2 linked regions of the Callithrix jacchus genome follow. The protein of the gene in region 1 interacts with the protein of each later gene in a pairwise test. Links are inferred from orthologs where the notes say so. Each region holds a gene or a part of one and is shown on either strand. Other genes may lie near its edges.

The links. The genes of interacting proteins can lie anywhere in the genome.
Region 2: the proteins of FOSL1 (region 1) and USF1 interact in binary tests that used the Homo sapiens proteins (3 or more experiments, as listed by UniProt). The link is inferred for Callithrix jacchus from reciprocal best matches to the Homo sapiens genes FOSL1 and USF1.

Annotation. Positions count from the first base shown.
Region 1 is NC_133511.1:122,974,899-122,979,077, forward strand, and holds the start of FOSL1 (fos-related antigen 1), read right to left. Parts: upstream 2,801-4,179; 5' UTR 2,749-2,800; coding exon 2,650-2,748; intron 1-2,649.
Region 2 is NC_133519.1:20,900,196-20,904,208, forward strand, and holds the end of USF1 (upstream stimulatory factor 1), read right to left. Parts: intron 3,876-4,013; coding exon 3,760-3,875; intron 3,421-3,759; coding exon 3,319-3,420; intron 3,058-3,318; coding exon 2,862-3,057; intron 2,625-2,861; coding exon 2,537-2,624; intron 2,090-2,536; coding exon 2,031-2,089; intron 1,885-2,030; coding exon 1,790-1,884; intron 1,556-1,789; coding exon 1,427-1,555; intron 1,242-1,426; coding exon 1,152-1,241; 3' UTR 501-1,151; downstream 1-500. Other genes in the region: TSTD1 (thiosulfate:glutathione sulfurtransferase), read right to left, coding at 141-150.

The sequences.
Region 1 (4,179 bases):
CCCAGCCTCTCATGCACCACCACGCCCAGTTAATTTTTGTATTTTTAGTAGAGACAGGATTTCACCATGTTTGCCAGGCTGGTCTTGAACGCCTGACTTCAGGTGATCCACCTGCCTCGGCCTACCAAAGTGCTGGGATTACAGGCGTGAGCGAGCACACCTGGCATAGTATCTTCATTTTTAGACAGGAGAATAGTCGTCCACAGATACAGAGCCAGTGAGTAGGCTCTTACCCACTCCTGCACTCATCTGCATGAAGAGGATAATTACAGCTCCCAATTCAGGGGAATGCTGTGAGAATCAGGTGTGAGAATGTGTGTGACAGTCTGGTAAGTGGCAGGTGCCCAGTGCAGAGGGGCTGAGGCAGGAAAGACTCACTGCTCTGGGTTCAGTCTATCCCAATTTTTTTTTTTCTTGAGACAGGGTCTCATTCATTCTGTCACCCAGGCTGGAGTGCAGTGAGCTGCAGTCTCAAGCAATCCTCCCACCTCAGCCTCCCAAGTAGCTGGGACTACCAGTGTGTACCACCACATTTGGCTAATTTTTTTTTTTTTTTTTTTTTTTTTGAGACAGAGTCTTGCTGTGTCACCCAGGCCGGAGTGTAGTGTAGTGGCACAATCATGGCTCACTGGAACCTCCACCTCCAGGGATCAAGCGTTTCTCCTGCCTCAGCCTCCCGAGTAGCTGGGACTACAGGTGCCCACCACCGTGCCTAGTTAGTTTTTGTATTGTTAGTAGAGACAGGGTTTCACCATGTTGGCCAGGCTGATCTTGAACTCCTGACCTCAGGTCATCTGCCTGCCTTGGCCTCCCAAAGTGCTGGGATTGCAGGTGTGAGCAACTGTGCCCAGCCTGGCTTTTTAAATTTTTTTTGTAGAGATAGGGTCTCATTAGGTTGCCCAGGGTGGTCTCAAACTCCTGAGCTGAAGCAATCCTCCCACCTCAGCCTCCCAAAGTGGAAATGATAGGCATTCTGGCATGAGAGGCTGTCTCAATTCTAATCTCAGCTCTCAGCCACTTACTGGCTGTGTGAGGGGCAAGTTACTTAACCTTCATGTACCTCCGTTTCCTCATTTTTTATAGTGCTACAGATGAGGATTACAGGATTTCATTGATGCTAAGAAGTACCCTTTAATAGGTCTGAAATATAGTTTAATTGGCAATTTAAAAAATTTTAGTGGGCTAGGCATGGTAGCACACACCCAGCACTTTGGGAGACTGAGGTAGAAGGATCACTTGAGCTCAGGAGTTCCAGGTCACACTAGCCAACACAGTGAGACTTTATTTCTACAAAAAAATTAAAAACTCAGTTGGGTGTGGTGGTGCATGCCTGTGGCCAGGTTGCCTCCCAGCTAGGATCCCAATAGGATCAGTTGAGCCCAGGAGGTTGAGGCTGCAATAGAAAAGTAAAAGAAAGAAAGAAAATGAGTGGCATAAAGTAATGGGGTCTTAAATCCATGAGGTCTTCGATTCTGTGAAATACGGCAAGTGATGTGGCAAGCACCCAGCACGACATCACTGCGACCGTTCTATTAGACAGCTATCTGAGGAGTGGGTTGGGATGGGGCTCAGTGTTCTGGGAGAAGTGGGTTCGAGCTCTGCTGCTGGGCCCTGGGTGTGGGCGACCGGTCGTCCGGGAAGCGCCCCACAAGCCCAGGCAAGTCCCGACAGCGGTAGCCCGATCCCAAGCGCTGCGGGCCCGGCGGCCCAGTGACCCCAGTTCCGGGTCCGAGGCACCGCCGGCGGCATCTCCCGCTCCCGAGGTTGTCCCGGCCCGGGCCAGGAAGGGAGGGGCGCCCCGGGTGACTCAGCCGCCGTGACTCGGCTGCCGTGACTCGGCGGAACGGACGCCCCTGTCGACACGTGCTCTCAGCCCCTCGATAAGAAACAGGCACCTGCAGCCTCCCGGGTACCCCCGGTGGGTAGCGGGCGCCTTTTTTCGGAGGCGAGAGTGGGTCGCGAGAGTCGCCCGCAGCCTGACCCCGCGCAAGTCCCGGAACCTCGCGGTCTCTATTAGCCGCATTCCGCAAAGGGGTCGAGGGCCGGTCTCCGGGGACCTGGCAGGTTCCACTGCCCCGGCCCCCTCGGGCTCCCCTGGCCCAGAAACGACAGGGATTTGGCGACGGAGGAGCGAAGGACAGACAGGCGGACTGACACACGTACGGTCGCAGACGGGGCCGAGACTCCCACCCTGGCTCCGCTGCTCTCCCGACGGATCCCGCCTCCCTCCTTTGTGGGGACGTCTCCGCCCGGGCCCAGACTCCAGAGCCCAGGAATTCAGCCCGAGGCGGAGAGACCCTCCGAGCCGTCTGGGCCGGGCCAACCTAGGCGCCCACGCCCCTTTCGAGGCAGTGGAGACGCAGAAATCAGAGGCAGGCAGGAGGCGAGAAAGCGGGCGCGGAGACGGAGGGACGGACGCGCGCGCCGAGGGAGAAGGAGGCGGCTGGAAGGGAGGCTCGCGGATCTCGGTGCCGCGGGCTGCGCGGCGGGGGAAACTGGCCCCGGACGGCGAAGGGGCAGGATCCTCGCCCCGGCCCCCAGCCCGGCCCAGACTCCTGTTCGCGGCTCCAGTCCCGGAGCGTGCGGGAGCTGACCCCGGCCTCCCACGCGCCGTCCTCCCGGGGACCCCCGGCGTCTGGCCCCACTCACCTGCTGGGCCGCCTGCCCTGAGGCCGGGGGCTGCGCCGGGGAGCAGTACCCGCTGCCGTTCCCGGAGCTCGGGCCGGGTTCCCCGAAGTCTCGGAACATGCCCGGGGCTGGCGGCTCCGTGGGGTCCGCGACTGCTGGGTTCTGACTCACCAGCGCTGTGCGGAGTCTTTTCTTTTTATGAATGAAAAGTTCTAGGGCTGAACCACTGCGACCGCGGGGGGTGGGGGCGTTGCAGCGGCGCGGTCACCTCCAGGCTCCACCCCTGAGACGCGCCGCCGAGGCCCGTCGGTCTCAAACTTGGCGACGCCTCCCCTAGCCCGGCGGCCGCTTTTCCACCGGGTTAGGGACCGGCTCCGCGTCCCCCGGCGGCGGCGGGCCCGCCCCCCTGACGTAGCTGCCCATACATGGTGCAACTTCCTCGCCTCACCCAGGTGGAGCCCGGGGTTACCCCGCGGACTGACGCACCTGCCCGAGCCCGCGCCCCGCCCCAGCCCTCTCGCGGTCTGGGTTGGCCTCCGTTTCTGCTCCCACAAAATAGCACGAAATAATCACGTCTCCAGGAGCCACGCCAATCGCCACCCAAAGCTTCGTGGAGATCTTGCCGTTGGCCTTGTTTTAAGACTTCGAGTATATGAAAAGTGAATAAATGATAAACCAGGGTTACAAAAATGGTGACATATTTTATTTTATTTTACTTTATATTTTTGAGGCAGGGTCTCTGTCTCTCACCCAGGCTGGAGTGCGGTGGCGCGATCTCCACGCACTGCAGCTTCAGCTTCCTGAGCTCAAGGGATCCTCCTGCCTCAGCGCCCTTTCCAAGTCAGTGTGACTACAGGCGCTCACCACCATGCACAGCTAATTTTTATGTTTTTATAGAGATGGGGTCTCGCAGTGTTGCCCAGGCTGGGTGATATATTTTTAATGTTTATGATAAGGTAATGCTTTGAACTAACCACACATATAATGCAATATAATTGTGTCACTCAGGATAATTTCAGGAGCTATGACAACCTTAATTCAGGTGTCCTGAGGTCTGATAAATGCCATCTTCTTTACTGTCAGTGCCTTTCGGAGACTGAGTGGCCACCAGTTTCATCTGGAGATTATGTCAAAGATGAGTGTGAATGTGAGGCCATGGCCAAATGTGCTTGGGAGGCAGGCACCATCCTCATCCCTGTTTTACAGGTGGGGAAACTGAGGCTGGGAGATGCTGAAATGAATTGCTCAAGGTCACTAAGTGAGTAGCTGACACAGGTTGCCAAATCACAGCAGTGGGAGCTCCAAGCCCAGGCTCAGCCAAGATTTTTTAAAGCCCTTACCTTCACAGAAGCCTTGTCGTACATGCGGAATGTTAGTGCTGAGCACCATCCAAAGCTGCTTCTCTGATTTCCTCCATCTAACAGATGAGGAAACTGAGGCCCAGATGCAGTGCTGAGCTGCCAGTTTTCACACGACTACAGAAAGGGGGCTGGGGCCGGGTACGGTGGCTCATGCCTGTAACCCTAGCACTTTGGGAGGCCAAGGCGGGAG
Region 2 (4,013 bases), on another chromosome or scaffold:
CTGGCAGCGCCCCTCCGCAGTAGGGTGTGCACGAGGACCCCTTGGCTACGCCCCTTCGCTCCCCACCCCCCCTTGCCGCCACGCCTCAATCCAGGGGGCCGCGAGGACCGAACTCGGCCCCAGGAATCCCCCACAGGTACCTCCAGCCATGGTGTGTGCAGCAACCGGTAGTCTCCCGAGCGCGGGCCCGGCCCGCCCCCTCAGCACCCGCAGCATCTCGGTCACTGAGACCGGATCCGGAAGCAAGGGTACCGCCTCCCGCACCGCCCCCGCAGCACCTGTTCGCGGCGCCGCTAGCACCATCCCACCGCAGGAGTCCTTAATATTCTCCAGCGTAAGCCATAAACGACATACCGGTCTGGGCTAGGAACCAGGACGCAGGGTAATGAGTACAGGAGCAGCACCCCACCCTGAACTTGCCCCAGCCCATACTGGTCAAAGGGCAATGTGCCCCTCCCCTTCAGCCTGTGGCCCACAAAAGGAAGAAAAGCAGACAACTGTGGCTTTGAACAGTTTTATCTTTAAAAAAAAAAAAAAAGAAAAAAAAAATCACCCCCACAAGGGGGAAGGCCCCAAGTGGGCCCCTGCCTGTAGTTCTCCCTGGCTCCAGAGATGTCTGCACAGGCCTCAGCTTCTTGCTGGCCAATCTCCTCTTCATGGGCACCAGCCACTGCTAAACATCCTTCCCCCATTTCTTGTGTAAGCTTGCTCCCCTGAGCAGCAGGGTGCATGTCTAAACCTCAGCTCCAGGGAAAGGAAGAACCAATGGAAGTGCCAGAGTCCTGGGGCAAGCCAGAGCATCACCCGTCAGCAGACCTCTGCTGGGCACTCTAAGCAAGCACAGGACAAGCCCCCCAGTTTAGTGTGTCCAGTATCCAGCATGGAGGCAGCACATGCATTGTGCGAGAGGAACGCAAGGGCCCAGGGGCTGCGTGGTGGGGGTGGGCAAGGCTGTCAGTGCACGTTCACATTGTGTGTTTCACACCACTGCAGGCTGCCATATCACAGGGCCTCAGTTCAAAGACACACCTTCTGAAACCCCCCCCAGTCCCCTGCCAGAAGTGGGCAGTGAAGGAAAGGGGCACGGGATTAGGCTGTTGCTTCCTGGGCTATCTGCAGTTCTTGGGCCCAAAGCCCCTGGATCCCCATAGTTAGTTGCTGTCATTCTTGATGACGACCTCTAATCCGTGGTGCCGCAACTGAGCTCGCAGCAGCAGATTCTTGTTTTTAAGATCTTCCACCTGACATGGGAAGGAGAGAGTAAATGGAATGGGTAGTAAAGCTGGCACTACCAAGCCCCTGAATGTATTCAGACATCCACTGGTGAGAGACGAAGCCCTCTCCATGGAGAACAAAGTAGAGGGTGTCAAACTGGGTCAGTGGCTAGTAGAGCTGAGAAGGGCTGCACTGGGGGTGGGCATCTGACCTGCTGTCGAAGCACGTCATTGTCCAGCTGCAGTTGGTCGAGCCCCTGCAGCTCTTCAGACAAGCGGTGGTTACTCTGCCGAAGCTCCTGGATATAATCACAAGCTTTGGATAGAATCCCACCTTTACTCTGCAAGATAAGGCCGACAAAATGAGGACTAGGATTTGAGATACCCAGCTTGCTTTCCAAAAGTAGGTTCACACTTTGGACCTCATTTTCCCCTAAGAAAGGTGGTATAGTATCTCCCAGGGATACAGGAACTTCAGGGAGAGGTCATGTGTGCCCTACTCTCTACCATTTCTGGAAACAATACCAGGAGACAGAATTCAGGCATCCTGCCCACTACCAGGGTCTTTCCATGACCTGGCCAGACTTGGTGCTCTCCATAGAGCAGTCTGGGATGATCTTGGAGAGCTGCACGATCCAGTTGTTGATCTTGTCTCGGCGGCGGCGCTCCACTGTGGAGCAAAGTGGAGGACAAGGTGACTCCGTGAAAACTCACTGCAAGTCCCAGGGTAAAAGTACCTAACCCCTCCTCCCCTCAGACATCACTGCTGTCCTAGGCCCACCAGACAGTTCCTAGCTCCACACAGATCTTACCTACCTTCATTGTGCTGAGCTCTGCGTTTCTCATCTCGAGTTGTCCGAGGAGCTTCTGACTTCCTGACAATAGAGCCCAGGGTGACCAGGGTAAGAGAAGGATAAAATACGTGATTGGAGTTTAGGGTTAAAGAATTATACACGATTTAGCAGGTATTAAGGCCACTTAAGGCTAGATGGGTGAAGTGTGTCACACCTGTAATCCCAGCACTTTGGGAGGCTGAGGCAGGTGGATCAATTGAGGTTGGAAGTTCAAGACAAGCCTTGCCAACATGGTGAAACCCTGTCTCTACTAAAAATACAAAAATTAGCCAGGCATGGTGGTATACATCTGTAGTTCCAGTGACTCGGGAGACTGAGGCATGAGAATTGCTTGAACCCTGGAGACAGAGGTTACAGTGAGCTGAGATTATACCACTGCACTCTAGCCTGGGTGACAGAGCAAGACTGTCTCAAAAACAAACAAACAAAACCACTTATGGAATCTGAGAAGAAACAAGGGTCACTCACGGGGAATAAGGGTGAGTCCTAGGGGCAATTGAGCGCTGGCTTCCTCCCTGCAGTACTTCTTGTGGTGACATCATTACAAAAAACTGACCTGTGAAGACACAGGATGATTCTGTCAGGACATGAGTAGGAACCTCACCATGCCCTGAGGTGAAGACCCTGGGCCCCCCCTCTAAAAAGAACATGCTAAAAGAAGAGCATCCCCAGACTCACTGCCTGCCCAGGTCCTAATGATCACTAAGAGTCATGAGTGAAGGCTCACTGCCTACCAGTCATGTCCCACAGCCTATCCTACCCTTCCAGCCAGCATCCTCCCGAAATATCTCACCAGTGCCAGGAGGGGTCGCCTGCCCCAGCAGTGCCTCTGAGCCCTGGGTAGTAACAACAGCAGCTGTACTCCCCGATGTGGTACCCCCTGCCCCATCTCCCACTGCCGTGCTGGGGAAGTAAGTATAGTGCGTCTCTGCAGCTGTCCCCTCTGTGTCAACTGCATCATCACTGGTGAAAGCACCCTGGATCACTGCCTGGGAAGGGGAGCAAGAGAACAGATTCAACAGTCAAAAACTTCTTCCCACTATACCACTTTGCAGCTTCTATCCCTTGGGGTAGCGGGTAGGGTGGAGAAGACAGAGAGAGAGAAAAACGTCCAGAAAGGGAGAGCCTAGTGTTTTGGGACAAGGTAGCCCTAGATGCCTCACTGTTCCTAGCTTCACCCCCATCCTATTGCTTCCCTTCTTCATCTTACTTCTCAGAACTCTAGTCATCTCCCAACCAATATCCTGTACCTGGGTCATGGATTGAGTGGCAGGGTAGCCACTGATGGCACCAGTGCCCTCAGTCTGGCCATCCAGCTGCCCTTCAGACACCTGGATCACCCTGTACATCACCTAGAAGCGTAGAGGAAGGCAGAGGGAGGGGAAGAGAGAAGAACAGATTAAGTGCTGGGAATCCTAGGGCCCCTCATAAAGCTTCCCTTGGATAGGGCCCCAAAACAAGAATCCTTCAGAGACACAGATTCAGCCATTCTTCCTTCTTTCTCCACACACAGGTTTCAGCATACATCTAACCTCACACCAGTCTCTACTCCAGTATTCGCACCTCCCTCCCCTGCAACAATCTATGCTTTCAGCTCATCCTCCAAGCCAGGTCACCCCAAGACATGTTCAATTACCTCCCTCAATCCCAACCCCAAATAACACCTACAGCCACCTGGCCCCCTCCCTTACCTGGCCCCCATTCTCAGTTCGGAAGACGTACTTGACGTTGGGGTCAGGGAAGGTGGCAGCTGACTGGATGCTGGCAATAGCCACACTGGTTGGATCCTCCCCAGTAGCCACTGCACCTGAATTAAAAGAACAAAGGAAAAGTCTGCCTTTCTCCCCACCGCCCCCCACCCCACACCATCCCCATTCCACTTTCATGTCATTGAAGGAGGATGCACAGGAGATGGTCTGGTCAGGGAGGAAGTGAGCCCATGGTG